Ovis aries: one gene and its partners. The protein of the gene in region 4 interacts with the protein of the main gene of each other region in a biochemical or structural test. Links are inferred from orthologs where the notes say so. Each region holds a gene or a part of one and is shown on either strand. Other genes may lie near its edges.

Region 1 (7,815 bases), on a different chromosome or scaffold from region 4:
GGAACTGACTACAACCCTTCCCTTCCCTCTGCTGTGGGAAACGGAATCCCCCAAGAAACCCAGCTTTGCCTGGAGGCAGCTCCAGGCCCCTTCCCACTCAGGAAGATGAGCAGAGGCCCACTTTCTCATGCCCATCAAATCCATATCCTGAAAAACTTCCCCAATGGCTCAGCAAGGAAAGAATCTGCCTGCAATTCAGGAGACACAGGAGATGGGGGTTCGATCCCTGGGTTGGAAAGATCCCCTGGAGTAGGAAATGGCAACCTACTCCAGTATTCTTGCCTGGGAAATTCCATGGACAGAGGCGCCTGGCAGGCTATAGTCTATGGGGGTCACAAAGAGCTGGACACAACTGATGACTAAGCACACAAGAGCAAACACGAAGATATCACTGATCACACCCATGAGCTTCCTGCTTCTTAGGGATGACACCTGGAAGATAAGAGTTCACATGATCTCAACTCAGTTCTCACAGATTCACCCTCAGACCTCTCCCCTCACCAATATTCGAGTGCTGTTACTTCCCTTTTAGAGTAGGTTTTGTGCATTCTTTTAAAAAAAAAAAACTCTGATTCTCCAGTGTTCCAATCCAGTTACGAGGAGATATGTGAAAGGGAAAACGAACTTTTACATTTTTCAAAATCCAAGCCACCTAACACACTTCCCTCTTTCCAGTGCCGTATGGTGAAACTGCAAAGCACAGCATTTTTAAATTATTAAGGACAGAATGGAGGCACCAATTCCTTTCCTACCACTTCGAAAACATATGGAACTACTGCAATGGGGCAAAAATCTATTCTGTATCTTAACCCGCTAGGATGTTGTTGGGATCCTAATAAATAACAACAGTGACAAACTGTCTACTCGTGTGTGTCAGGCTCTTTCCTAAGCACTTAACATTGGTCATCCATCATTTTGCTGTTGTTTGGTCCTTGCAACAATCGTAGAAGTTGGGTACTATTACTGGACCAGCCCTCTTCGCAAGTAAGGAGATGGGCACGAGTGAATGAGGACAGGGTCCTTGTCTGCCTGTTCCTGGCTGAGCCCCCAGCCCCCAACAGCACCAGGTTCACAGCAGGTGCATGCCTGTTCCCTATGTGAACGGGGAATGCAGGGGTGGGCCACTTCCCGCACAACTCCAGGGGGCGCCATGGGCGTTGTGCTCTGTCTAGGGTCAATCTGAATGCCCTCCGAGCCACGGCAGCCCTGATGAGCCGGCCAAAACCAGTCGCCATGTCTGAGGACTCACCCCATGTCTTGGAGGCACCAAAAGGGAAACTGGCCAACCCAGGAGTCAGACTTGGATGTTCAACCCCAGAGGCCCTGGTGAAATATGCCTGGACCTCAGTTTCTTCACTGGCAGAACGTTCTCAAGGGATATTCACCCAATACACAGAGTCCCTCCCACTCTCCCACATCAGATAAACAGTGGGGACGGAGAGCTGGTCTACGGTTACCTCCCAATGTTTTGAGGACCCACAAGAGAGGCAAAGGTGTATAAATAAATTATGTGTTTTAAAAAAATAAATACGTGTTTATGTTGGAGTGCTTTTCACTGACAGGAAGTCTGGAACCACTGCACTGCCCTGCACCAAAGCTATGATGAGGTCACCCCACGATGAACACCCCCCCAAAAAACACCTGCAAAATCAACATCTCCTGAAGGGCTGGCGTGTGCGCTCAATCACGTCCGACTCTGTGACCCCATGGACTATAGCCCACCAGGCTCCTCTGTCAATGGGATTCTCCAAGCAAGAACACTGGAGTGGGCTGCCAAGCCCTCCTCCAGGTCCCGAATCCATGTCTCCTAGGTCTCTTGCATTGGCAGGGGGATTCTTTACCACTGCGCCACCTGGGAAGCCCCCTGAAGGGTTGGGCACAAATGATTTCAAGTGGCATGAGGAGGAACACTTATTATTTTCATAATCGTATATGTATTGAGTTTAAAGAAAATTAGGAAAATGTATATAACCAGCACATCAAACCTGGGGTTTCTGGGATACAGAATGACTCATGTTTTCAGTTTTCTGAACAGTTAATTTACAAATACATACGTATGAACAAAACCACCTCCGAAAAATTGAGAGCTCATTACATGCCAGACTCTAGAGAGTGTTAAACCACTTCCCATACTATCTTTCCAACCCTCACAACAATTCTTTGAGCTGGCACCACTGTCTTATCTGTTTCTCAAGTTGGGGGACCTACTGGTAAGTGTCCTGCTTGAGGTCAAACTAGAATTTAGAGCTGACTGTGAATCCAGGAGGTCTAATTCCAGAACTAGCACTCCATAACACCACCTCCTATTAACTACTACCCCACACCCTTACTGTTGAGGGAATGAGGTTTGGGGAAAATGGCCTGGAAAGCTTTAGAAAAAAATTAAAAAAGAAAGCAAAACACAGCGCCAGCAACTAATATTTATTGTCTGCAACTCGCCCTCAAGTCCTGGGCCAAGCACTTCACACACAGGGCTACTCAATCCTCAAGAGTACCCTCCTCCTTCATCCACAAATGTTCCCTAAGGGCCTACTACACACTGGGCCAGGGTACACTAAAAGAGATTACACAGACAGCTCTGATGGCCCTTGGAGAAGAGATGTGTAATTACAAACAGGAGTAACTCCTAACACAAGAAAGGATCAAGATGACCATGTGCAAAAGCAGCAGAGGGGAGCAATGACTGGTCCCAAGTGGTCCAACACAACCTGGGGGTCCTCCCTAACCCTGAGTAAAAGCCCCCTCTTCCATGCAGCTACCTGATCTCTGGTTCCCACCACTGGCACCAATCTGCTGTGCTCCTCACACATGACAGGCCTCTAGTTGTTCCCACACTTACCACCTGTTCCCCTACAAGACTGAACAGGCTGCTCTGGGCACCCAACCTCCAACTACCAAACACCCAGCTGGGGCTCAACAAGTATGTGTTGAACAAGAATGGAAGAGACTGGACTGAACAACAACGATAGTGCTTCCCTCTTGACAGGAACCATTTTACAGGCTTTCACCGGCTCCATCTGTGCCATTATTCTCATTTCACATATGAGGACACTGAGAAGTTCCAAAAGATTAAGCTATTTGCCTCCTGTCACACAGCGAAGTGACCAGCAACAGCCAGGAGTCAAACTTGAATCAGGCCTGTCATTTAAAAGTGAAAACTTGTTTCAAATTCTTAGGAAGTGGCTCTCACTGCTTATTCCCTACTTTCCCCAATGATTCACTAGGGGGGGAAAATATCAAGACTAGTGTCTTCAAGACCTTCACAAAATACCTTCTCCTGAAAGATTCGCGTTTTAAATAAAAACCTTAATCTGGAAAATCGATTGGCAGAAAGGGGTAAGGACGCAAAACTAAAACAATGCTTTTAACGGCAAACAGTTCTCTCCGTCCTTCCCCACTGCTGCCGACCCCCGGCTTCAGGGCAAACGTTCTCAAGTCACTACTTGCAAGGGGTTAGCAGAGTTATTTACCTTTCCTTGAAAATCTAAAACGACGTGACTTTTAAAAAAATAACCATTCAGGTCGGCTAACCCAGGGGGGCTGCTAATGTTCGTGTCCGGGCGACGCTGGACACACCTGGGGTTTTTCCTACTGAGCTCCGACTGCAGGCTCGCCAAAAGGCAACATTCGAGTCGGACCCGTTAGAACGTAACCAGAAAAGCCCGGACGTCTGGCTATTGTTGCAGCCCCGGCGGACACCGGGATGTGGGCCCCTGGACCGCCGACGGGGCAACGCGCTTTGTCCAGCGACCCCGGCGAGAGCGCGCGCGGGGGGCGCGCGGCCTCCACGCGGCCCTGGCCCCCACCCCGCCGTCCCGCGGATACTGTAGTCGCCGAGGCCTCGCTGCCTGTGGCCTTCCCCGCGCGCGCGGTGCCGGTCAGGCTTCTTGACCCTCGGGCGCCGCCGTACCCCGGCCCGGCTCCGGGCGCCGGCGGCCCCCTCCCCCCTCGGCGCCCCGGCTCCATTCAAACCGTCCTCCCAAGCCCCGCGCCGCGCTCCCCCCGCGACCCACGTTCCTTACCGGGAGTCGCCGGCGCCGTCGCCTTCCCGGCGCCGCCCCCGCCCCTCCACGCGGGGCCGGGGGCAGAATGGGCTTCTCGCTTCTCCTCACGAAACAAAGAAGCAGCCGCCGCAGCCGCCGAGCGAGGGTAAGCCTCGCGCGCGCGCCCGCCTGCCTCAGCCGCCCCCCCACGCTGCCCGCGCCCCCGCTGCGCGCGCACTCGCCACCTCCCCTCCCCCCACCACGAACTCCCACTCGCTTCCGCTGCTGGCCCGTCCTCGTGCGCGTGCCCGCCCGCCCTTCCGCTCCTAGGGCGCGTGCGCGTCTCGCCGGGGTTGTCTGGGAGAGGTGGGTGGGGCCAGAGAGAGCTAGAGCGCCCGACGCGCCTCCCGACTCTGTGTGGGACGGTCATGCGCCTGCGCGCGGTGGTCTCCGTTCCCGCACGCCGCGCGTCTCAAAGCCGCCGAGCATGCGCAGAGCAGGCGGCACTGCGGCGGTGGTGGAGGTGGAGGTGGCAGCGGGAGGTTGGGGGATGGGGTGGGTGGTGGAGAGGTCTGCGGGGAAAGCGTGGCCGAGGGCCCCTGAGACTCAGAAGTGAGGCTTCCAAGGTCGTGCATGAAGGCAGGAGGCGGACAGGCTGGGGCCGGGGATGAGCAGAGCCGGCCCCTGGGCCAAGTGCAGGTCGATGTTCGGATGATGGCGGTGCCCGTTCGGCAAAGCCTGTTACGCAAAGACCGTGGCTATCTTTTCCGCACAACTTACCTAGGGCTATTAGTTTAGCAGATAATCTATTGACCTGCCCCACACTGAGGTACTGTAGTACCGAAGAGAAATCTCAGCCTCTGTGGCGCTCATGGTTTAGTGGGAGAGGCAGGCGCGAGGCAAGAAAACTTAAGTAAAATACACTGTGTTGAAATGGACACGTGAAGGGTCGGGGAAGTTTTAAATGGGGCAGCTAGGGAAAGCCTCTCTGCGAAGACATTTGAGTCAAGACATAAAAGCAGTGAGAGAGAGAGAGCTTTGTTCCAAGTGTGAAGGCCCAGAGACTAGGAGGCTTCATCTCTTAAATTTTGAGAGTATCTCTTGAGTCTGTATTCGTTGTTTCTAGCCCCACAACTGGACAAACGGTTCCCAGGGCCAAGTCCTGGAGCCTGTGACTCCCTACCCCTGCTTCTCTCAGGCCTTCCCCCTCATTTTTCAGGTCTCAGCTGACTCATCACCTCCCCTGGCCTTGCCCCCTCTTTGATCACCACCTCCTTTTCTTTCACATTTCTTGGGTAACCCCTTTAGTATCTGTCTCCCTAACCTCAATTTAAGTGGCGCAGTGTTGTCAATTTTAGTCCCTAGTGAAGAATACCCAATATCTAGTGTGGGGCCACCCTCTGCAACACACTAGACACCTTAAAAATATTCTTTTTTAATTGAAAATATATTAGCTTCTATGGAGTGTGTATCACCAGCACTTTGGGCCTTTCCAAGCCCAAGGTGAGGCCCTTAGAGCATAAAGCAGCAGCTAATATCTTGGCCTGAAGCCAAAAAGACCTGCGTTGAAAACCTGACTCTCCTTAGTACCTGGGGGATGCCAGGCAAGTTTACAGAAGTTTACACTTCTGTTTCTTCACCTGTAAAGTGAAAACAGTGACACCACTCATCTCCACAGGGTTGGTTATGAGGCATCCATGAAAACAGGCCATGGAGAAGCTCTCGGTGACTTAGCTTGTGACGTTGGGTAATGGACAGGAAATGGGCAAGTGAGGTCTAGACTTCGGCCTGTCTCATTCATTCAAGCAATATTTCTAAAGTGCCTTCAACATCTTAAACGCTGAGCAGAAGACTTCCCTGGTGATCAAGTGGTTAAGAATCCGCCTTGCACAAAAGATAATACAACATTGTAAAGCAATTATCCTCCAATTAAAAATAAATTTAAAAAAAGAAAAAATCTGCCTTGCAATGCAGGGGACGCAGGCAGGTTTGATCCCTGGTTGGGCAAATAAGATCCCACATGCTGCAGAGCAAACAACCCCAAGAGCCACAACTAAAGATTCCGTGCCCTGCAACAAAAGATCTTGCATGCTGCAACTAAGACCTGACCCAGCCAAAATACCCAGAAGCGCTGAGCTGGTCTTAGTCGTGCGGTGATGCACTGAGCAGGCAGGGTTCTGGCCCTTGGAGCAAACAGTCCATGAGTTCAGCTAACGATCTCCCCCACCAATCACACTAGTAATACTTGACAGGAAAATCTAAGTGCATTGGAAGAAAAGCCCCGGGGTTGGTGAGATCATAATATGGGGTCTTCCTGGGAATGAGAAGTCAGATCAAACTCTCCATATGCCAAGACCCAAAGGAGGAGTGCACTCAGCGGAGGAAACAGGATGTGCAGAGACCCTGAAGAAGGAAAGGAGCGTGGGAACAGAGGACAGCTCTTGTGGCTCTGGGGGGAGGTCTGCAGTAGCCAGGGAGGGCAGGGCTTTGTTGGCAATTCTTAATATTCTTCACACCTGGCACATTCCTGCCCCAGGGCCTTTGCGCATGTGCATCTGACCCCTGCATAGCTGTGTCTCCCAGAGAATCTCTGTAATGTTACAGATGCAACATCCTACATCCCCAGGTGACTTTTCTCCATTGCACTCACCCTGCACGCTGGAACATAAGCTTTGTGTCTGTCTTCAGCACCTAGCACAGCGCCTAGTGACTGGTGCATGGAAAAGAGGCTGAAGGAGCACTCTCCGGTGGCCCACGCTGCCTCTCACAAAATCAGAGTTTATGGGATGCTTGTTGAGACCTCAGTATCACACCCGTGGCATCTCAAATGCCACTAGGGAGATGCCTAGCGTGAAGTCAGAGCTTTAGGCTCCAACCCTCATCTCCTGTGTCCAGGACTCGGTCAGTCTTCCCGTATGCTGCCTATTACAATGATAGCTGCCCCTCCCACCTTCCCCAGTGGGCAGGACAGGGCCAGATAGGGGCATGAGGAAGCTGTGCTGTGCAAGGATGCAAAGAGGAGTGTAGCAGTCCAGATGTTTGCAGCATCACTCCCCACACGGCAACAATACAATTCCCAGTTGGTCTTAGCAGTCTCAGAGTCTGCATTCACATCTACACCCTCTGGTATCTGTGGCTCTATTAGCTAGGAGCTTCCCACGTGGCTCACAGGATGTGTCAGAGTTCTCTAGAGACACAGAATCAATAGGATGTTGGATATACATATACATTCACACATGCTCAGTCACTCAGTCATGTCTGACTCTGCGACCCCATGGACTGTAGCTCACCAGGCTCCTCTGTGCATGGGATTCTCCAGGCAAAAATACTGGAGTGGGTTGTCATTTCCTTCTCCAGGGGATCTTCTGACCCAGGGATCAAACCTGCATCTCCTGCACTGGCAGGTGAGTTCTTTACCACTTGAGCCACCTGGGAAATCCCAGATATACACACACACACATACATACATACATCCTATTGATTCTGTTGCACTGGAGAAATGAAGTATATATACATATGGAGAGAAAGAGAATATATACACATATATATACTAATATATATTTATATAGATAAATGAGAAAGATGTTTATTTTAAGGAACTGGCTCACATGACTGTTGTTGATCAGTCGCTCAGTCATGTCTGACTCCTTGTGACTCCATGGAATGTAGCACAGCAGGCTTCCCTGTCCTTCACTGTCTAACAGAGTTTGCACAAACTCATGTCCATTGAGTCGATGATGCCTTCCAACCATCTCAGTCTCTGCTGCCCCCTTCTCATTTGACTTTCAATCTTTCCCAGCATCCAGGGCTTGTAGGATCTGACAAGTCTGAA
Region 2 (7,852 bases), on a different chromosome or scaffold from region 4:
TGTTTTTATGTTATCTTAAACTTCATCAAAGAAAAAAGTTTTAAATAATTATCTCTTTGCCAAAGCGTTGCTTTCTAGTTATAATGCCAGAAATATTTTAAACAGAATCCAAACATTAACAGTATAACAGAAGCAGAGGCATTTTTGGGTTTTTTTGGTCAATTCCAAGCCTCAGGTGTTGGTCAAAGCACTTTTTAAGAAACTTGACGAGAAATGCTCAAAAACCACTTTAAAAAAATGAACAAAAGAAAAGATCTAAGGCTGCTTTGAACACACTCTGGTGGTGAATATTTTCTGTGAAACCCCACAGAGCAGCTAGTCCCTGAATTGGGATGTAACTGATGTCACTCAGGAGAAAAAAGCTTCATGGAAGGAGGCACCCTCTCACCTCTGCCAATTTTTTAAGGGTTCAGATACCCCAAACTCCTCTGATTTATTTTACAATATTCTTCACCTGACTTTTCTCTTTAATGCCCCCGACAAGGTAGAGGAGTGGCTGTGTACAGGTTTGCTTTTCTACTTCAAGTCACATCCATAAATATCTTTGATACCTAATGGTATCTCCAAATCTCTTCCCACCAACAAACACTCAAGTTGTTAGGAAGCTTTAAAAAAAAAAAAAATTGTCTAGGAGAATAAAAGGACAATTAGATTCCTAAAAGAGAAAAAGGTGTTTTATCTGCATAACAATTCACCAACTTGGATTCAAACCTCTGCCACACCTCTTAACAATTCACCAGGAAGCTAGAGGTAAGCTAGAAGCCTAGCATAGCTATTATAGGCAAACAAGCCTGGGGCAGTGGTCCTGCAAATAAGATAATACTGAAACATTTGAATGTGCAAGTGTTAAGTATATACACACAACTAACACTGGGCATGGCTTTTGTTTCAGTACAGTTCTCAGAGGTTTCTGAGTCTTACTTAACACGCTTAGATAGAAATTTTCTTCCATTCAGTAATGAAAACAACAATCTTTCTGTGCCTACAAGCATTCTCTTCCAACAAGCACAGCACATCCAGGTGTAAATTAAAAAGTCCTTTGAAATGGAAGTTGAAATTTTAACTCTGCTACTGATGATACAGATGTCTTCCTTATGCCCTAACATCACACACAGTTAGGAACACAGTCTGCATAATAACCAGGAGATTAAGGATAGCACCTCTCAATAATATACTGACCCAGGTCGCTTTACTTTTTCAAATGCACCAAGCTCCATTAGGTTGAGAACGGAAAGAAGAAAAGGAAGGGGAGAGGGGGACCTTGCAAAACTCTCCCAAAAGTTATATAAACAAAGGAGGGGAGAAGCCCAGTATGGGCTTTGCACCCGTGTGCTACTAAAATTACATAACACCCGCTGCAGACATTAAGGAAGGAATGGATTCTGCACAACACCCCCATCCCCCTCGACTCCCATGCCTGCCTTCTGCTCTTCAAAAACCCAAACGCCTGGCAGGACCAAGCAGACGACTTCGAATATTTAATTTCTGGAGTAAATCCGGCAAAAGCTGGAGGCACGTTTAAGGCCTGAAGTTTGAATGTGCAACAGCCCCGGGGCAGAGCGACTCCACTCTCCGGACCCGGAGGAGAAAGAACTGACAAGGGACAGCAGCCAGCAAGGCCTTCTTCCCCTCGCGGTGCCTCCCGCTGGAAAGTTTTCCACGCGATCGATCGGAGGGCCGGGAGCCGGCTTCTCCCGCCCTCCTGACTTTGCAAGAAAGCCTGACCCGGAGACCGGAGGGGGCCGGGAGGGAAAGAACTGGAAAGCTCCGCACCCGGCAGGCGGCGGAGGCTCAGGCTCCTTACCTGGGGGACACGGAACAAAAAGAGGCGCGGGGCTAGCCTAGCCTAGCCTGCTGTGGCGGCCCTGCCAGCGGCGGGAGCGGGTCTCCCCGCCCAAGCCCTAGGCCGGCGCTGGAGCCCGCGGCCCGGCCCCCGCAGCCGCTGCCGCTTCCTCCCTCGCGCGCGTCATGTCACGGCGATCAAACATGTCTGTGTGCGCTTCGCTGCTGTGACTTCCTGATTCTCCGCTGCTCGCGCGCGCACACTCACAGCCACACGCACACGCCACCCCCACCACTCCTCCACCACCAAACCTCGCCTTGTCCTCCCGCGGCTCCCGGGCAGGGCACGAGCAGGAGCAGCTGCCCGCGCCGCTGCTCGCGACGCACCGGCCCCAGCGCACAACACACACTCACACTCACGCGCAGACACACTCGCGCCGGCCCCGAGGGCGCCGAGACGCGAGCTGCGGGAGCTCGCCGCCCCCTCCCACCCTCCCTCCTTCCTTAGTCTCCCTGCCAAACTTTTTTTTTTCCTGCCTGATCCACGTCCAACTTCCCTCCACCCGCCACCCCCACCACCCCCCCTACCAGCAGTCCGGCCAGCCCCGGGCTCACCAGGATCGGCTGCAAACTGCAACCAGGATAAAAATAATAATGCAATCCAGGCGGTGGAGGCGGGGGCGAGTGCGCAGACACTGGCGGGAGGCAATTTCCCCGCGTGTGCCGGAAACCGGTCCGAGTGTCGGGACCCAGGAGCGGTTGTCCCCCTGGAGCCCTTACTGCTGCGCCCCGCCCCGCGCGGTGCAACTGCGCCCAGGCTGCGAGGCCTGGTGCAGGGGACCCAGGGCGCCCCACTTGGTGTGCGCCCGCAGACAGAGGGTGACTAGGGGCTGGCGCGCCGGACTGGTTATTTGGGGAAGTGCATCGCGACACCTTTGCAGATGGCATGGCCGTGTTTTGCAACGCAACCGGGAGGAGGGAACACGGCGAGATGGAGGGGGAAGCAGAGGAGGGAGTAAACCAGGTTGGGATGGGAATAAAGCAAACTCGAAAGCAGGGAACAAGAAGGAAGCGGTGCGTGTCATCTCTGGGGGCAGGCTCCCTCCCGGTCTCCCCGCCTTCTGCCCTCACCAGCCTCCCCCCCCCCCCCCCACCCCCTACCCCGCGCCAGCCCTTCCCTTCTACAGCGAACACCACTGCACAGGGTGCGCGCGGGTCCTGTTTGTGACAGTCAGGCAGAGAGGATTATCCGGATCATGGCCTCCCCGGCCCGCAGCCACCGTGGCTCTCCTGGGCCCGGGTGCTCCCCTAGCATCCGGATGATCGCCGGCGACCCACGCCCGAGGTTCCGGCAGCCCAAGCTAGGGGAAGATGCAGACCAAAAGAAAACAAACCCGAGAAGGCGGAGGGCAGGATAACAGCCCAATGAGCACCTCCGACCTCCTTCTTCAGGACCTCCTCCCTCCTTTCCTCCCTCCCAGCAGTGTGGTCGCGGCTGGACACCCCGAACTTCAACACCCGAGCCCGCGCGGCCACCAGGTACCAGGGGCAGGGTCGTCCGCAGTGCCCCGGGTGCAGACCCCCGGCAGCCCCTTTGCCTAAAGGCCTGCCTACCGGTCAGCGTACCCATCCCTGCTCGCAAAGTGGAGGTGACACCTCCGATCCCGCACGCAGCGGCCCCGCGGCGGTGGCTGCCACTGCCTCGGCGAGCCAGCTCCGGCTTCTCCCATCGCGACCAGCTCCTGTCTCCGCAGCCGGAGCCCTTTAAACAAGTCCCAGGGAAGCTGGTGGCAGCCGCGTTCGTTGGCGCCCAGCCGTCAGCCCGGGCTCCTCGCCCTCTCCTCCCGCTCCCCTTCCAACTCTTCCCGGGAGGACTGCTCTAGTAGAACCTTAGCGTTTCCATACTCTTCCCGATCCTCCTGCCACCTCCTCCCCCCAACCCCAGTTTTTAAGGGAATGAGGGGATTGCAACCTTGCCGAGTGTGTGTGTGTGTTGCAACCTTCCGTTGGCAGCGCATCGCTGATTGCCTACCTAAGGTCAAGGCTGTGGTTTGTTGGGATTTTCCTCCCCTTGCATCCTTGAAGTAGTAATTATTACTATTATTATTAGAACAGCAAGCTTCGGTTGAAACTTTCGCGTTTCTTCCACTGCTGCCCGGGAGCTGTCGTTAAGAGCATTCCACCTGAGGCCCGCGGGGTAGGAGGCGGGCTTTTTTTGTTGTTGCTGCGGCGGTTGGCCCGCCTGTTTGTTTTGGTCTCCGTGCATGCACAATAAATAATAATTAGGTTAATAATGAATAATCCCCGGCGAAGGCGGCGCGGTGCCGGAGGGGTTTGTGCAGCGGCTGCAGCCCGGAGGCCGGAGGGAGGGGAAAGAGGAAAAAGGAGTTGTAAGTTATATTTACCTTGCTCGCGAGGAGTGTGCTGGCTGAATCTCTTCCCTCTCTGAGTCACCCAGAGTACAGAAACAGAGGGAGAGAGGACTAGATTATGAATATGACTTCATTGATGACAGCCATCCCCTCCTCTTCCTAAACTCCGGCTCCGCCCCGCGTCCCACCCTCACCGCCTCCGCGGGCGCCGGAAGACGCGCCGCAGTTGGTCCAGAGCGCCGCTCCTCCCTGCCCGCCCGGGCGCGGGTTGGCGGGAAGCGCCTGTCACTCGCCCCGCTCGGCGACTCCCGGAGCTCTGGGAGGGAGGAGGGGGCGGTATGCAAGAATGTGGATCGAGACAGCTCTACAGTATGCGTGGATCTGTGTGTGTCTGCAAGGCGCCGGCTCCCTGGCCGTGTTTGTGCCTGGAGCAGAAAAACTGCGCAGGACGCGGAAAGCCCCAAGCCCTGATGGAGGGAGTTGGACGCCCGTTATCCTTCCCCGGCAGTCTTCCGGGGCCCCTGCCGGCCTCCTCGTGGGAGGCTGGGAAGCGGAGGAGGCTAAGTGAAAGGGAGGGCAGCCGTAGTAATAGCGTGTAGTAGTTTAGGGGTATGGGAAGAAGGTGCTGGAATTTAACTGTGCCTCTGCCTGCCAGAGCGAGCCTGCGGAGGTAAAGGGAGGGGAAGGGGGGAAGGCTCCAAGTGGCACCCAAGCTGTTTGTAGCACAGTGTTGACCATGAAAAAAAAAAAAAAAACAGGCATCGACGTGCTGCCGGAAACTTTTTCTCCCCCACCCCGCCCCCCACCCAAGGCTGTAATTATCAATCTGTTCCTTTTCTCCCCCGTAAAAAGGAAGGAGGGCACAAAGAACATTCCTGCCAAATCTGTCTCTTTTCTAAAGGACTGCAAGCTTCCAAATGCCAATGAGGGAAAAACAGCTGAGAGGCTGAACGCTTTATAAATAAACAAACCCGCCCTAACCCCTGTGTTGACTCTGTGGACCAGACACAGCACTTTGACCTTCCCTCACCTATCATCTTCCCGTGAGATATATACCAAAAAACAAAGGAAAACAACCTCTTGGGGGCGGGCGGGCGATAGGGGGTAGTTAAAGCATGGAATCTGCTTTTGATTTAAGATAGGTAATAAATCTCTTATTCTCTCCCGTCTGACGTCTCTTCACCCCCAGCCCACATTTAAGACCAGTTACGGTTGCAGACAGCAAACTGCTGGCGCTCGGTGGGTTTGAGACCTCTCCTTCCTATTTTCCTTGAAATACAGTACTTTGGCTGGATGAATAGGTCAGCGTTTGCTGAGAGAATTTTATTTTATTTTATGAAGTGTGAAAGAATGTTAGGAGATTTTAAATCAGGGGCCTATTATTTTAGACTTAGATGAATGTAGGTGCTTGACTCAACATTAAAACTGTTCCTATATGGTAGTGTTATTAAAAGTATGACATAGCCCTTATTTTGTAATGTAACAGTTTAAATTACTCATGCAAAGTGCACTGTGACTATTTGGTTCAAGATTTCTCCCCCCTAGAGTAAAATCCTATTTTAACACCATTTTACTGTTGCGAAATTGGCTCTATTTGGGCAACTGGGTCTGAAATACAGTTCTAGGGCGCTTAAAATTGTGCAGTGGATAAGTTGAAGGCATGAAGCTGTGGAACAAACACTGCTGCAGCATGCTGCACGGGGTCATTAAATGGCAAGAATTGTTTATGTTGTTGGCCCATTGCTGGTGGAGGAAGAATCCTCAAGGGCACCGTTTTCAGGTGGCTGGGAGTGTCAAGGATCACCTACCTTGTAGTTTTCTAAGGCTTTGCTACTTGCTTGTTAACCTGAGCTTCATAATTTTCTATCTATCCCAAAGTGAAACTCAAGACAACAAAAGATAACACATATAAAAGAAGTAGAATATATTATGCCCTGAAGAATCTATTGTAAGAACTTGTTTTTCTGCCTGAGGTTATGCCAGTATAACTATTAACTAGGTGAGAAATCTTAAACAAAACTAGCAATGTAGTAAAAGCAGAACTTTCAATTGCCTAATAAATTTCAGCTAATAATATAGCCAGATAACCTAGTTGTCTATAAAAGGGCTTTAACCCAATGGTGATGCTTAATACATTAGGTAATATAAGGTTTTAATTTGGGCTGGAAGGGGGGCGGTGACCCATTTCCCTGGCATGCCAACCTTATATGCCAATTTTTAGAAATTGATGACTTCATCTGAATTCCCTTGTGAGTAAGTGCCCTTTATCCCTTTTAAGAATTCATTTTCACCTGCTATCCCAAATTTGAAAGAGAGAACAATCATTTTAGTGAGATACTAGCGGAAGAGACTGGTCATTCCTTCTGGTGTTTTGTCAGATGGAAAGTAAAGACTAAAACAATACTCCTTTTGTTACATGTGTATATTCTTCAGTTCATGTAAAATTTTGATGCAGTACTTGGCGGGATTGGTATCTGTGCATTACATGCACAATGATGGGGATGGAAAAATAAAATCTGTCACTGGGAGCAGAGATTAAATATAGATATTGCATCTCCCTTTCCCTTCACATTGGTCTAAGAAAGCACCACCTTCACCCTTCAAGTCTTTACTCTGAAGAATTGTCTTGTTTGTAGCTTGCACTGCAGCAAGTAGGAATTTTATAAAATAAGGCCTACACTCAGGAGAAATGAAAAGGCAGCACCTTTCAGTCAGCATGAAAAGAAGATTGTAGAACATATAGCGTGAATTTCATCTCCAAAGGAAGGTAAAATTTAACAACTGATATTAAGGAGGAAAATGATGGGATTGTTTTGTTTTGCAGAAAATCACACAAAAGCAAATAGGGTTGGCGGCTAGAAGGACTCCGGGAGGCTGCACAGGATGCTAGGTTCACACAAAGCTTTTCCTTTTGGACTTTGATGAGTCATAATGTCTTCTCTGAACTTGCTTTTCTCTTTCTAGTTTGACATCAAGGAAGAGATGTCATTTTTTTCATGTCTGTATGGCTACATTCACTTGTTATGTAAGTCGGCCATGGTTGACATCCTGCATAGAGTAGACACTGGGTTTGAAAATTGACATCTACCTACAGCACCCTCTCTCTCTCTCTATATATATATATATATGCACAAAGTCAGGAAGCTTCAAGTTTCATCCAGCAAACTATTCATGCTGGCTGAAATGTGGTCTAGCTTCAAACAGGAGCAAGTAAGACCATTTAGGGAACGAGGACTTCATCTACAGTAATGGAAACTAAACTTTGACAAAGTGAATCAGGCGACATTTAATTTAGTGAAGAGTTCAGAATTAGCAAGTGGATTTATTACAGAAATAAACACTTCTCTCCTTTTTTCTAATCAACAGTCAATAAATTTAGATTCTCCACAGCTAGTCCTCCAAAATACCACCCCACTTCTCTTTGTGATCATACCATCCTCTAGTTCAAAAGCCTCTGTCTATTCCCAATCCATTCTGTGATGAATTTCAGACCTCTTAGCACGTCAGCCACAGCTGTGCAAGGACAGATCTCTACTAGCCTTCTTGATCTCCTGAAAACATGTGAGCTCAGAAAGCCTAGTTGACCTCCTGGCAACTAAGGGGCCAGACTGGATATATTAGTTCACACTCAATGAAATGCAGGTTCCCCAAGCACATCCTCCAAAGCTCAGCTACAGCCCAGATACCTTCCAAGGGCC
Region 3 (7,833 bases), on a different chromosome or scaffold from region 4:
CTACCAGGATGGTATCTGGAATTATCTATTGAGGTGCAGTGAGGCCTCAGAATTCCCTTAAACAGTCGAGTCATAGAACGCTCTAAAATCTCAGAAGTCAAAGTCACAGTATTACTCAGGTTTGCTGGGCTTAGTTGCTCTGTCGTGTCCGACTGTTTGCAACCCCATGGACTGTAGCCTCCTGGGCTCTTCTGTCCATGAAGATTCTCCAGTAAAGAACACTGGAGTGGGTTGCCACGCCCTCCTTCAGGGGATCTTCCCAACCCAGAGATCAAACCCAGGTGTCCCACATTGCAGGCTGATTCTTTACCATCTGAGCCACCACGGAAGCCCGTGAATACTGGAGTGGGTAGCCTATCCCTTCTCCAGGGGATCTTCCTGACCGAGGGATCGAACCAGGGTCTCCCGCACTGCAGGTGGATTCTTTACCAGCTGAGCTATTACTCAATTAGCTATATAATAAAAATCAAACCGGCATCCTGGCCGGGAGGCCCTAGAAGAGCCACAACTTTTCACAGTTGCCTTTTTTTTTCCCTTGGTAAATTGCATTTTTATTTGTAAACTGAGGGACCTAAACTAAGGTTCCTTCGAGCTCTGAATTTAAGATCTCTGATAACTCAAGATTTCGTGGAGAAAAAAAAAGAGCCAGCAAATGAGAGCACTTAGGTGAAGACCCAATACAGCAGTGAATTGCAGGTCTATATATATGTATATAGAGTGCCCCCAGCTCTTACGCACCGAAGCCTTTCTAAGGCTTGATCCCGAGAGTCCAGACTTCTGCAGTATAACAAAACAGCTATGCTCAAGACATTCACACACCAGCAGAACCAACGTTAACTGTGCCTTGAAGAAGTGAAAAAGGCCAAGGCTTTACTCTAACAGAATGGTCACAACGCCTCTTAAATATGGGAGTGGCCATGCCCTGCTCTCACTCTGTTCCCCCCCCCCCCGACACCATACCTACCATCAAAGAGGTAGAACCAAATATTTTAAGCAAAGGTGTACAAAGCAAGCTTTCAACAGGAAGGGGCTCCATGCCAAAGAAAGGCAGAAGAGACCAGGTAAATGCAGAAGAGCACAACTTTTGTGTCAGTGAGTCCAAGGAAAAGAGACTTTACATCCATCCTACCCAAACTGAGGTAAAGGCACAGTGGTGACAATGACAGTTTCACTGGAAGGCACTGGTACAGAAGCACTGAGAACAAGGTCCTCCAACTGGAGCAGTAATAATGCTCTACCCAAGAAAAAATGGTTGTCTGCCAGCCACACAAGGCTGGTCTGCGTGCGCATCACCAACAAAGGGTGGGGAAAACAAACAGGTGTCTGCCACGCTCCCTGGAACCACCAGTCTAGGACTATGTTTTACCCCCTCTGTGCTTGAAACACTAGTTACTGCAAAAGTCAAATCCTTTCTATAATATTCTTCTCATAGATAACTCGGGCAAGCTGGCCACAAACTGCTCTTAGCCAGTTAAAAGATTTTCACTGATATTCACCTTTACAAAAGATCACGGGTTCCAGGAGACATCATTTATCATGTAAATAATCCCGGGCAGGTATATTAACAGTGGAAACCGCCCTCCAGGAAGGAACTAACACTTTTCCATCGGCTCTTCTTTATTCTAGGTTCAAGAAGCAAGGTTCTCATTCCGTCTCCACTTGGGGGAAGGGGTATTCAGGAGGAAGATATCATCATATTGGACTCCTCTAGCCAATTCTTCTGTCAAATTTCACAGCGTGCCTCCCCATCCCACTAGATTCAGCCACAAAGAGGCAGGGCCAGCCAGCAAACAAGGGCTGTGGCTGGAAATCGCAAATAAAATGCAAAACAGTACTCGAACCCTCTTGCAACATAAGCAGCACAAAAGTTGGAGTATGGTTGGACTGCATCATGCTCTGTCAGGTGAAACAAAGACCTGGGATTCTAGGTTGCAAGCATTCCAGGCAAATTTGTATTCCAGGCAAATGAGTATGGTGTGTACTGGCAAGAAAGCCATAGAGAGTTTCCTCAAGCTGTTAGGACACCATGACTTCAGATGCCACCAGGTACTTTGCAGACAAACTATATTCTGGAGGCTGTGGGATAGGGGTATGATGGAACAGCTCACTGGAAGGGCACCCGAGGCGGCTAACGCACTGACAATGATGGGAAACGAAACAGAGCCCTTGCCGGTCACATCTGAGGCTCAGATGTACAAACCTTGGAATCTTCGTTAAGTGAGGCTTGTGTATCTGTGTGTGCAGACAGGAATGCACCTCAGTGATCAGCCCCCTCGCTGACATGCCACGAATGGGTGTTCTGTGGCAACTTATTCAATCAACTCTACACCTCTGTGACTGATTGTGCCCTTTAAGGTTCTGATACGTCCGGGTAAAAAATGAAAGCAAATTTTTTCCTAGGTTCCAGGACTAGGATTTAGAAGTCCTTCAAAGCCCATAAATAAATCTATTTCCCTAAATCCCTAGTGGAAATTCCCAAAAGACCTAAAACTAAAAACCAGATTTTAAAAAAACATAAAGATTCAGCATATTTCAAAGGACCCAAGAGGTTAATGGCATTCTTAGTTGAAATCGTTCAGATGCAGATGAAAATTCTGACGGTGGAACCCAAATTTCTCCTGGATAGCAACTGCCTGTTAATAATGATTTTTGCTACCAAGGCCGATATATGCTTCATTTTTGTAATGTAACAAAATGCCTAAAATTTGCCAGAGTCCTCAAGTCTTAAGCCACTCAGCCTCACAGGCCAGTAGGTTCGGTTCTGTGATCACCAACCACCCACAGAATTCTATGCTACCATCTCACAATTTGGGGCACTGATCGGCACAACAGAGACACAACTCTGAATGGCTTTGCAGCCCGTTCCTGTTCCTGAAAAACGAGAAGCACACATCTGCCTGACCATGAGTCAGGAATATCAATTTTGTGGTGGAGCCCATTTCGGCTGTGACCAATCCACACCGAACACACTCACAGTAGAAGCGACGGCCACAGAGGTGTATTCCACAGCCAGCCTTCCCCGCCCTTGGAATCCACACTTAGCAAGGCCATGAACGGTCTCCTCTGTGAAAGCAATCTTTTAAACTCTTCACCATGACCTTAAGTCTTCAGTGCAAAACCACAAAAAACATTGCCACACCACTAATCAGTCACCTGAGTTTCAGTATGGGTGACTCAGAAGCAAACTAGAAAGAAAATAAACTTTCAGGGACCAAGCGATGGGCACCCCGGCGATGCGGTGAACTTGCCCCATCTGGTACTGGTGATCTTGAGCCGGGCGCGCTCCGGGACTATGGAAGCCCGTCACAGACTGAGTCCCACTCCACTTATGTAACTGGAAGATCGCCGGCGAAGCGGGGCGGGCGGGGGGGAAGGATGGGAGGGCGCTCGTATTCTGAGGCCATGCCCCCCCCCCCCGCAAACGCCCTGGGAGCGTGCTCCCATCGAAGCGCTACGGGTGCTGCCGGACACCCCGTCCCCTCCCCACGGCTCCTGATGGCAACTATCACCGCCTCTTTCTGATGAGCTCTGGGGCCAAGAACACAATGTCTAGTGCCTTTTGTGGGTGGACAATAATTCCCACCTACTTGTTCTTGCTAGATGCGAAAGGAACTCGCTCGCGGCGGGGACGGTGGGGGGGCAGAAAGTCATGGAATGGGCGAGAAGGAGGGGGAGGCAAAGCCTGGAGATGGGGGCGACTGCCCAGGAGCCCTTGTGGCGCACTCTCCCGACGGGAGGAGAACTGCGCACGCGCGCCAGTGGGGGGGGCCGAGTAACGGGAGAGGGGCGCGCGAGGGAGGGAGACGGGAAAGCGCGAGCCAGGGAGAGGCCGGGGGCGCGGGCGCGCGACGGCGCCGCGGGCCCGAAGCCCCGCGAAGGGCACGACGCGCGCGCAGCCCCGACAGGCGAAGCCCCGGCGACAGGGGTGCCCGCGGGGCCGGGGGGCCGGGATGCGCGCCGAAGGCGGGAGGGTGGGGGGAAGCAGGCAAAGGCAGCCTGAGGAGGCCGCGCCGAAGACGGTCACCCGCAAGTGCGGGTAACGGGCCGCCGCGGGGGGGGGGGTGCCGTCACCAGCGGGAGGGGGAGGGTAGAGAGGAGGGACGCCATCCGCCAGCCGTGTCGCCCGACCCCGCGGGCCCCTCCCGCGCCACGTCCCGCCCCTACCCCCCGCCCCCCAGCAAGGGTCCCCGCCCGCGGCCGCGGCGGTCCCACTCACAGTCTCTCCTCCTCGCCTCCTCCTCCTCCTCCGCTCGGCGCGGCAGCGGCGGCGGCGGCCATTTTCCGGACGGCTTTTACCACAGCCCTCTCTCTGAGAGGAGGGAGCGCGCGCGCCGCCGACGCCGAGACCCCGCACGGCCGACGTCGCGCCCCGCCCTCCCGACCGGCTTGCGCACAGCTGCACCTGCGCGCCTGCGCCCCGCCCCCGATGCTTCAGCGAGCTGGCGCGCCATTGGATGTGTTGGCCGGGGTGGGGCGGGGCCTCGGTGGCGACGCCCCCAATTGGCGGGACTCGGTGTCCGTTCCGGCGAGGGAAAAGGGGGCGGACGCCCCGTCTAGCTGCCGATTGGCTGCCAACGGCCGTCATTTGGGGAAAAGAGGCGGCTTGGGCGCCGAGGGGATGGTTTAGTGGGCGGAATTTGAATATTAAGGATTAATAGGCCTTTGCGGATGCTGGGGCAAGGGAAGGCCTAGGTTCCGGACGCCTGTTTGCGCGACCATCCCGGGCCCTTGACCTGCTGTCCGCAAACACACAAAGTACATTGCTATAAGCCTCCCGCAACACCCGCATTTTCTCAGTATCACCACATTCAGTAGAAGCAGCAAAGTTGCCTGACATTGTTCCAGACAAGAACCTTGGGTTTACGAGGCCTACCGAAGGCATTCTTTCATTTGAGCCTACCGTATGCCACACTCTCAGAGGGGCAGGGAAATAACTGAACAACGAATTGTAGCCTTCACCTTCTTGCAGCTCTGGTGGGGCAAGAGGGTGCATGCCAAGGCTTGCACGAAACCTGTCATGGTTGGATGAGATGGTTTGGGGTGAGTGGGAAGAGGGGGCAGTGGAAACACAAAGAAATAAGCGCTCGGCCCGGAAGAGGTGATTTGGGACTTAAGATCCAATAATGCTGGTATAGAAAAATATTTAAGAGTATGGAAAAAGTTTTAGCTAGTGAGGGCTTCCCTTGTGGCTCAGCTGGTTAATATCCACCTGCAAGGCGGGAGACCTGGGTTGCATCCTGGGGTTGAAAAGATCCCCTGGAGAAGGGAAAGGCTACCCCACTCCAAGTATTCTGGCCTAGATGGGGTCTCAAAGAGTCAGACACGACTGAGTGACTCATTTCACTTCACTTTAGCTAATGGAGTGTTCAGGATAGTACTGTCTGTCAAGGCGACTTTACTCTGATTCCAGCTATCATCCAATCCATCCAATGCTCTTTTTGCTACTTCTTCAGTTAAGAAGGAACCGTCTGATTCTGATGTGATTCCCTACCCCACCCCCATTCATTTATTAAATCCCTGTTATGTACCAGGCACTGTTCCAGGCTCTGGATGCAGAGTACTGAATAAGTACTTAACATTCTTGTAGGGGAAGATTCAGAGTGAACATACAAAAAGTATAAAATAAAATGTCACATAGTGATAAGAATTTGAGGTAGATAAAGCAACAGTGAAAGGGGTGCTATTTAGATGTCCACCGGCTTTTGCTCTCATTTTGTTCCCCCATAGGGTTATCTATGACCAGTGTCTTCTCCTGGCAAAACTCAGTTAGCCTTTGCCCTGCTTCATTTTGTACTCCAAGGTGAAAATTGCCTGTTACTCCATGTATCTCTTGACCTACTTTTGCATCCCAATCCCCTATGATGAAAAGGACATCTTTCTCTGATATTAGTTTTAGAAGGTCTTGTAGATCATAGAACCAATTGACTTCAGCTTCTTCAGCATTAGTGGTTGGGGAACAGACTTGGATTACTGTGATGTTGAGTGGTTTGCCTTGGAAGCAAACAGAGATCATTATGTTGTTTTTGAGATTGCATTTCTAACTCTTTTGTTGACTGTGAGGGCTGCTCCATTCCTTTTAAGGGATTCTTGCCCACAGTAGTAGATATAATGGTCAACTGAATTAACTTCACCCATTCTGGTCCATTTCAGTTCACTGATTCCTAAAATGTTGATATTCACACTTGCCATCTCCTGTTTGACCACACCCAATTTACTTTGATAAATGGACCTAACACTCCAGGTTCTTATGCAATATTCTTCACAGCATTGGATTTTACTTTCGCTGAAATCAGATTGATTATATTCTTTGCAGCCAAAGATGGAGAAGCTCGATACAGTCAGCAAAAACAAGACCTGGAGCTGACCGTGGCTCAGATCATGAGCTCCTTATTGCAAAATTCAGATTTACCTTGAAAAAAGTAGGGAAAAACAATAGGCCATTCAGGTATGATCTAAATTAAATCCCTTATGATTATACAGTGGAAGTGACAAATAGATTCAAGAGATTAGATCTGATAGACAGAGTGCCTGAAAAACTATGGATGGAGGTTTATAACATTGTATGGAGGCAGTGACCAAAATCATCCCCCCCAAAAAAATACAAGAAGGCAAAATGGTTGTCTGAGGAGGTCTTACAGACAGCTAAGAAAGGAAGAGAAGCAAAAAGCAAAGGAGAAAGGGAAAGATATACCCAACTGAATGCAGAGTTCCAAAGAACAGCAAGGAGAGATAAGAAAGCCTTCTTAAGTGAATACTGCAACAAAATAAAGGAAAACAACAGAACGAAAAAGACTAGAAATTTCTTCAAGAAAATTGGAGATACAAAAGGACTATTTCATGCAAAGATGGGCACAATAAAGAACAGAAATGGTAAGGACTTAACAGAAGCAGAAGAGATTAAGAACAAGTGGCAAGAATACACAGAACTGTACAGAAAAGGTCTGAATGACTCAGATAACCACGATGGTGTGGTCACTCACCTAGAGTCAGACATACTGGAATGTAAAGTCAAGTGGCCCTTAGGAAGCATTACTACAAACAAAGCTAGTGGAGGTGATGGAACTCCAGCTGAGCTATTTCAAATCGTAAAAGATGATGCTGTGAAAGTGCTGTACTCAAATTTGGAACACTCAGCAGTGGCCACAGGACTGGAAAAGGTCAGTTTTCATTCCAATCCCAAAGAAAGGCCATCCCAAAGAATGTTCAAACTACCACAAAATTGCACTCATTTCACATGCTAGCAAGGTAGTGCTCAAAATCCTTCAAGCTGGGCTTGAACAGTACATGAACTGAGAACTTTGAGATGTTCAAGCTAGATTTAGAAAAGGCAGAGGAACCAGAGATCGAATTGCCAACATCCATTGGATCATGGAAAAGCAAGAGAATTCCAGAAAAACATCTGCTTCATTGATTACGACAAAGCCTTTGACTGTGTGGATCACAACAAACTGTGGAAAATTCTTTAAGAGACAGGGATACCAGACTATCTTACCTGCCTCCTGAGAAACCTGTATGCAGGTCAAGGAGCAACAGTTAGAACTGGACATGTAACAATGGACTGGTTCTAAACTGGGAAAGGAGTACATCAAGGCTGTATGTTGTCACCCTGCTTATTTAACTTATATGCAGAGTACATCATGGAAAATGCCATGCTGGATGAGTCACAAGCTGTAATCAAGATTTCGGGGAAAAAGATCAACAACCTCAGATATGCAGATGACACCACCCTAATGGCAGAAAGTGAAGAGGAACTAAAGAACTTCTTGATGAGGGTGAAAAAGGAAAGTGAAAAGGGTTGCTTAAAACTCAACATTCAAAAACTAACATCTTGTC
Region 4 (7,190 bases):
AGCTCTTGGACCTCAGGACCTTGGTGTCATTTTGTTTAAAGTTGATGCCTTGGTGGTCCAGAGATTTCAAATAGTATTTCTCATTTTGCTCTCTCCACACCTTGTTAAAGCCTCTCTGAGCTTCTCGCCATTCTTCCTCTTTCATCTTCAACCTAGTGGGGTGGAGGGTGGAAAAAGAAAGACATAAGAGTTCAGAGGAGGGAATTTTAAGGCAAGGAGTCATATTACACTTGTAGACTGGAATCCTCACTCTGCCATATTAGCCACGTAAGACTGCCTCCTTATCCGTAAAAAGAGGATAACAGCACCTCATCCCACAGGGTTTAGAAGTAAGAAATATGTCAGGTTTACTTTATTTCAAAGGTCAACAGGTACAGCAGATCTGTCAAATCTGTTGGCAACTCTGGAATAAATTTATTCAAGCTAGTCTTGAACTCTGATACACGAGAAAACTACTCATTCGGGACTTACTATGGGGAAGTAATTTATCCCAAAGTCAGAAATCTTGCAGAGAACAGTTATTTCTCAACCAACATTCCACAGAATACCCTAGAAAAGTAGACTCTCTTCTTTGGCCAGCTAAAACAAAGTGAAACAAGTTTCCCTGCTACAGGACTTCTGAGAATTGTCATTATGCTAATGCAAATGCGAATGTCCAAGAGCAGAGAACTTGAGCAACAATGGATGCTCCTCTAGACAGAGCCTGGAAGTTCCAGCAAAAACAACTGACTGAGCCTCTGGAAGAGAGGAGAGAAAAATCAAAACCAGCACTAGAACTGAAGGATATCCTCCACCTCGAAGACAAAAGTTAAACACTACTGGCAAGAAGGCAAACACCTTCTGCCAGCTCTTGAGAGGAAGACTGGGGAGGAACAAGAAAATCTGGGCACGTGTGACTGTGCAGTGGATAAGTTTTTCCAGTGGTGATACAGGACCAGATTTTTAGGAGCGCCATGGACTTCGAGGAGCCTGGGGCTCAGCCCTGGCCTCCTCGATACCTACAGCCTTATTTTAGGTGGGTTCAACAGCCCCTCTATACTTGGTTCGAAGGTTGGTTAGAAGAAAGAAGACATTCTTGAATTTTTATGGGACGCTAAGGCTTTTTAAGTAACATATCAATTTCATAAAGACAAAGTGATTTTTCTTATTAAAAAACAAAAGATGTGAACATCGGTTAGTACTAAGTGGCAGGAAGGTGGGTGGCTGTTTTCTTCTTTGTTCTCTATTTTAAAATATCCCCCTAAACACACAGAGCATTCCAGTATGGACTGGAAAGGCTTGTTCTCTGCTGTTGGTGACACAGAACCCCATCAAGAAGTTCCACTATCCCACACTATCCACCTGACTTCCTACAGCCGCGGTTGGAGAGAAATGGAGGTCTCAGGGAAAAACTGGGCTGAAAAGGAGAATCTTATTTAATGGGACACTAAATCTGTTGAGAAGTGCACTAAAGCATGAAGGGCGTATGCACTCAGGTACCTTTTAAGGACAATTGGGACAGCAATGGAAGGGTTCTTCCTCAGACCATCAATGATGTCAGCTGCTTTGTCAGCATATATCCTTTGGAGTGCTTTTCGGTGGATGACTTCCGATGTGCCCCCGAGGGTGTTGTCCAAGCGAAATTTAGCTTGTTCTTCGGCAGACAAGCGGGAAAGTTTCTTCTGTATTGCTTCCAGAACCCGGATAGTTGCCAGATTGGTCTCTAAAACTACATCAAGCTATTGAAAAAAAAAAAAAAAGACAGTGTGCTCAGGACCCAAATCAGAACAGAATAGCTGTCAGGAGTAGAAGGTAGAAGTCAAACTCCCTGGATTTGAATCTGGGCTCTGCCATACCATAGCCATATAAAACTGTTAGCTTATCAGTAAGACAGGAATACCACCACCTACTCTCACAAGGTTGGGTTCTGGATTTAACAATACAACCCACATAAAGGATTTAGCACAATACCAGGCACACAGCAAACATCCAAACCCTGAATATTCACTGAAAGGACTGATGATGAAGCTGAAGCTCTAAAATTTCGGCCACTTAATGCGAACAGCTGACTCACTGGAAAAGACTCTGATGCTGGGAAACATTGAGAGCAGGAGGAGAAAGGGGGTGACAAGAGAATGAGATGGTTGGATGGCATCACCAGCTCAACGGACATGAATCTGAGCAAATTCAGGGAGATGAGTGAAGGACAGGGAAGCCTGATGTGCTCCAGACCACAGGGTCACAAGGTCGTCTTAGCAACGGAACAACAACAAAGCAGTAGTTGATACTTCTAGCGCCACCAATGTGGTTTATTGAGGATGACCGGCCCCCATGCCAGAGGGACCTAGGAGGAGGCAACCTTACTGACACTTTCCCCTGAACTTTTGTGAATTACTCAGATCTGTTACAGACAATAACAACCACTACCACCAAATCCCAAAAAGATCATTCAAGATATTAAATCAATCTCATGAGTAAAGTTTTTCAGAGTAACTTGAGATGTTTAAATGTTTAATGTCTTTTTGCACATCTACTAACAATAAGAGCATTACTTAAGGGCTTCAATGTTGTATTTGTGAGTAACCATTTAAATTTTCACTGAATATTTCTGACACTTTATTTTCTGGCAAGGGCCAAGCCTAACCTGGTTAAAGACATGACTAGCAACCTTGAATTAACTTTTTTCCAAAGCTTAACACAAAATTTTCCAGATGAGAAACAGAAAATAAAGGAAATAAGCAGTCTCAAGAGTCCATGACTCTGTATAAGTGTTTCCTAATTTTCTAGTTTGAGGACTATGGTAGTCATTTTGTCAAAAATTTTAATGCCCCCTTTCCCCAGTTATGGATAAACGATGGCTTGGACTTCCTGGCTGCCTTGAGATTAGCTGCTGCTGCTAAGTCACTTCAGTTGTGTCCGACTCTGTGTGACCCCAGAGAGGGCAGCCCACCAGGCTCCCCCGTCCCTGGGATTCTCCAGGCAAGAACACTGGAGTTCAGAAAACTGCCATTTCCTTCTCCAATGCGTGAAAGTGAAATAACTTGGTCGTGTCCAACTCTTCGAGACCCCAGGGACTGCAGCCTACCAGGCTCCTCCGTCCATGGGATTTTTCCAGGCAAGAGTACTGGAGTGGGTTGTAGGGCCGTGTAACTAGCTCTGACCTATGAGCTGTTAACAGGTGAGTCAAAGTAACATCTATTACTTCTAGGCTAGCGCATTTAAGGGTGCAAGATCCATCTGAGCTTTTCTCCTACAGTCATGGATACTGTTCATGATGGTGCCACTCTGACAGCCCAGGTCCCCAAGCAATTCTGATGAGTGGAATCTTCAGCTGAACATCAATGCACATGCAGTATGATAAGGAAATAAATCCGTCGTTTTCAAGTCACTGGGATTTAGGGGTTGACTATATTACAGGAATATTAACCAATCCTGATGCATAAAGGATTCAAATTAGTCTATCCCATCCAATCCTCAGCATGTACATGTGCATACATACACACATTTCTTTCATCTTCACTACTGCAATAACAAGCAGGAAATGAGGCTGATGCCTCTCCTGTGCAGGGATACTAGTTGAGAATAAGAATATCCTGTCAAAAACAGGCGTCAATCTCTGCTAACCCATCACTGAAACTGACTAAACATAGGTTAAAAAAAAAAAAAGAAAGAAATGCTTTCTTCAGCTTGATAAAACTTTACACAGAACTTAATATCTGTCATGACTGAGTTTTCTGCAAATGGTCAAAGTTCCTCATAAACACGGGCCCAGCGGACCAACCAACATGTGGTTCTTCATTCAAAACACGCCAGAAACAGGGGAAGCAAGTGTGAAGGGGAATAACTGGCACAGAGCTAAATCAGTATGGGTTAAAAAAGGAGCAAAACATCTCCCACCCATAGGAAGAGCAGGGACAGTCAGTTTTATATAATAAACACATTAAAAAGGAGGCATGTAATTTTCTCTCTCTAGACACATTTAACATTCCCTTTTTGTTGATATCGGTGAGCCAGACATTTAAACACACTGGGAACTGAGTCTGTTTCCAGTACTCCCACTCCTGGTATCAGGGCTCTGGACCAGCTCATTTCTTCACTCCAGCTCTTTCCTTCCCAACTACTTTAAAATGAAGTCCCTAACTCAACTTCCTTTCAAAAGGAGACAAATCAACATCAGAAATATGACAGAAGAGTTTCATTTCTCACAGGAGAGCTAGTTTGCTAACCATGTTAGTAAGATACCTGCTAAAAATAAAAAACACTTTAAGATAAGCAATTTAAAACAGCTTCCAGAAAGTTTTCCACTAGGTCTTAAATTACTGATTTTAAATACTATGTACAACACAATAACCTTTAAAATGTCATTAAAAATTCAAAGGAGTATTATTCAGCCATCAACGGATAATTTCAGTTAAAAGGGCTAAAGTGGCCTTTTAGATAAGTCACATTTGTTATGAAAATATTACTAATATACCTGACAAAGTCACAAAACATGGTAAATACAAGAAGCATTTACCACAGAAGAATATGAGCCTCTTGCTCTTTGGTCTTAAAAGCCAGTCCTCTCAGGTAGGTATTTAAGATATCCTCTTTCAGAATCTCTCATTTCCCCAAACTTCAAATGATAAAGGAGCTTGTACCTCAAAACGTTCATCTTCACAACGATAGATATGTTCTTCATACTGAGTTTTCTTGGAACTAACAAAGGTGGAGTCCTCAGACCAGGAGGGGAAGGAAACCCAGGTATCATTTAAAACCTTTGGGTAAAAGAAGAGAGATTGAAACAAAAGTGTAACAAAATTTTCTGGTGATTAAGCTTTCTCAATTAAAAAAGACAAAACTTTAGGGGAGGGAAGAAACAGTTAACATTACAAGTTTCACCCATAGCAAGTGAAACTGTGTAGCAAGTTTAAAAAGATAGAAAAAAGTTCTCAATATAAGTACAAAACATTTTCTTTTGAAAAAAGACAGGAAAGGATTTTGATTTCTTCATTCGTATAAATTCTCCATCCCACATACCACTTCCTTCTGGAGGAAGCTGAGGACTCAGGGCTGATGCCTTCCCTGGAAGGCCTTACCTCTTTACAGAGAGGAGTCCGTCCCGTACACTTGGGCTGCTGGTAACTCTTCGGTAGAGCTCGATAGCTGGAGCCCAACCGTTTACAAGAGGCATAATCTATCTCCATGGCAATGCCCTCTGTGGCCCGTTCCTTTGGAAAGGTTTCCAGGTGTACAGACTCCTTATAGCCCAGAAAGTTTTTAAACCAATTAAACAATTCTGGGAATTTCCTAAAGAATCAAACCAAAAAACTGGTGAGCAATTAGAAGTATTATGCAGTAATGCTGAGGTGTGACTACCACTATTTGATGTAGAGTCAGAACTTTGCTATCACTGGACAAATTCCAGTGACAATTATTACTTCTTGCCTAATAAGTACTGCTTTTGAATACCTGGCTTCTCCTTTTCTTACAGAGTGCTCTAAGATCAGTCAAGGTGGTGGTGCAAGAACTATACTGAAACAAGGCAATAACCAGCCATTCTTCTAATCAACAATATTGTTTCAAAGTTCAGATAATTCTTTGGTTGTCAAAGTCAAGATTCTAGAACCCTGGAAGAGACTGGTCTATATAAAACATCCAACATTGGTCAGGGGATCAGGAGACCAGTAGTCTTGGCCAATGTGCCCTCTGCCAATCTTTTCATCTCCATAGTTGAACTAGAAGACTTCACAGAGGACTCTCTTAGCACTAACATTTTATGAGTCAACTGACCCACCACAATCAAATTAATTTTGTCTATCATTTACTTGCACAAACTAAGTTTTATTTTACTTCCTTATCACACACCAGGGCCAAGCTCCTGACTCCACTTACCCTAGGAATGGAGAGACTAACTGCACAAGCTCCGCCCGAGAGATCACCTCCTGGTTAAAGATAACAAGACAGCGCAGGAAATTTTCATAGGCCTCTGCACTCCGCAGAGCCTTTCGGACCTTATGGAGACAACCGAAAGAAAAATAATTCAGTGAGAAATCAAGAGATCCTGGCTCACTTTTAAAAGACTGGGGAAACTTGAACTGTTATTTGATGATATTAAGAATCAATTTTGTTTTTTTTAGATGTGTTAATGCTTATGTTTGAAAAAAGGAGTCATTTAAAAAGGAAACTTAGGGACTTCCTTGTTGGTCCAGTGGCTAAGACTCTGTGCTCCAAATGAAGGAAGACCAGGTTCGATTCCTGATCAGCAAACTAGATCCCACGTGCTACAACTAAGACCAGATGCAGCCAAACAAATATTAAAAAAAGAAAGAAAACTTAGTACTCATGGGTGCAATATTGTATCATACGAGACTTGTCTCCAAATAACCCGGGGTAGGTGAGAGTGCACATGGAGCAGGCGCAGCAGCTGGAGCTGAGGCCCGCCGAGGCTGGTGATGGGTGCACGTGCTGTCATCTCACCACTCTCTCTAATTTCACATGCTTAAAAATGCCTGTAACAAAAGTTCTGAAAAAAGAGGTCCTGGAGTACACAAGACGTTTACTTCTCACAAGCCTGATTCTCTGAACCATAAGAGTGTTGCCCAAGCTTTGGTTGCTTCGCCTAACGGATGTTTACAGAATCTTTTCAACACTCTTTTCAAACTCTGGTAATCCTGACTAATAACCTTTTAAAATAAGCGACTTTTGTTCTCTGGCTTGATCTGTTTCCTTTCTCCATTTCTCCTTTCTTCACAGTGCTGAGAATTTTAATAACCCAAAACACTAATCATTTCCCTGAATTATCAAGCAAACTCCGGACTTTCTTTTAGTATGTCTAAGAAATAAGTACCTCGAAAACAACAACAAACACCATCACTATTTTTAAAATTAACTTGTTCAGTCCCCTCCCCTCACCCTTTCCTTGCCATCTGTTGGCTGTGACCTGGACTTTCACATTTGCCTCAAAAGCACCAAGTGCCCAGGCAGCCCTCAGAAATGGTTCAGATCAGAGTCATGGACTCAGGAGGCACCAATCATGGAGATACTAAGTGATTTGCCCTTTTGCAAAAACCCAGAGGTGCAGGACTTTCCTGGTGGCTGGCTCAGTGGTAAAGAATCCGCCTGCCAGTGCAGGAAACATGGTTCAATCCATAGTCTGGGAAGACCCCACACGCCTCAGAGAAACTAAGCCTCTGGGCCACAACTGCTGAGTCCACGCATTCTGGGGCTAG

Evidence for each region. The genes of interacting proteins can lie anywhere in the genome.
Region 1: the proteins of SIN3A (region 4) and SMARCA4 form a complex in vitro, tested with the Homo sapiens proteins (2 studies listed by BioGRID). The link is inferred for Ovis aries from reciprocal best matches to the Homo sapiens genes SIN3A and SMARCA4.
Region 2: the proteins of SIN3A (region 4) and SMARCA2 form a complex in vitro, tested with the Homo sapiens proteins (2 studies listed by BioGRID). The link is inferred for Ovis aries from reciprocal best matches to the Homo sapiens genes SIN3A and SMARCA2.
Region 3: the proteins of SIN3A (region 4) and MECP2 form a complex in vitro, tested with the Homo sapiens proteins (2 studies listed by BioGRID). The link is inferred for Ovis aries from reciprocal best matches to the Homo sapiens genes SIN3A and MECP2.

The regions. Positions count from the first base shown.
Region 1 is NC_056058.1:13,253,335-13,261,149, reverse strand, and holds the start of SMARCA4 (transcription activator BRG1), read right to left. Parts: upstream 4,312-7,815; 5' UTR 4,023-4,311; exon of another isoform or gene 3,951-4,022; intron 3,881-3,950; exon of another isoform or gene 3,826-3,880; intron 1-3,825. UniProt on the Homo sapiens protein: ATPase involved in transcriptional activation and repression of select genes by chromatin remodeling (alteration of DNA-nucleosome topology).
Region 2 is NC_056055.1:70,271,963-70,279,814, reverse strand, and holds the start of SMARCA2 (probable global transcription activator SNF2L2), read right to left. Parts: upstream 4,312-7,852; 5' UTR 4,188-4,311; exon of another isoform or gene 3,815-4,187; intron 2,469-3,814; exon of another isoform or gene 2,371-2,468; intron 2,187-2,370; exon of another isoform or gene 1,805-2,186; intron 1-1,804. UniProt on the Homo sapiens protein: ATPase involved in transcriptional activation and repression of select genes by chromatin remodeling (alteration of DNA-nucleosome topology).
Region 3 is NC_056080.1:80,215,475-80,223,307, reverse strand, and holds the start of MECP2 (methyl-CpG-binding protein 2), read right to left. Parts: upstream 4,312-7,833; 5' UTR 4,279-4,311; coding exon 4,217-4,278; intron 1-4,216. UniProt on the Homo sapiens protein: Chromosomal protein that binds to methylated DNA. It can bind specifically to a single methyl-CpG pair. It is not influenced by sequences flanking the methyl-CpGs.
Region 4 is NC_056071.1:31,075,707-31,082,896, reverse strand, and holds part of SIN3A (paired amphipathic helix protein Sin3a), read right to left. Parts: intron 5,973-7,190; coding exon 5,854-5,972; intron 5,269-5,853; coding exon 5,058-5,268; intron 4,737-5,057; coding exon 4,620-4,736; intron 1,719-4,619; coding exon 1,480-1,718; intron 153-1,479; coding exon 1-152. UniProt on the Homo sapiens protein: Acts as a transcriptional repressor. Corepressor for REST. Interacts with MXI1 to repress MYC responsive genes and antagonize MYC oncogenic activities. Also interacts with MXD1-MAX heterodimers to repress transcription by tethering SIN3A to DNA.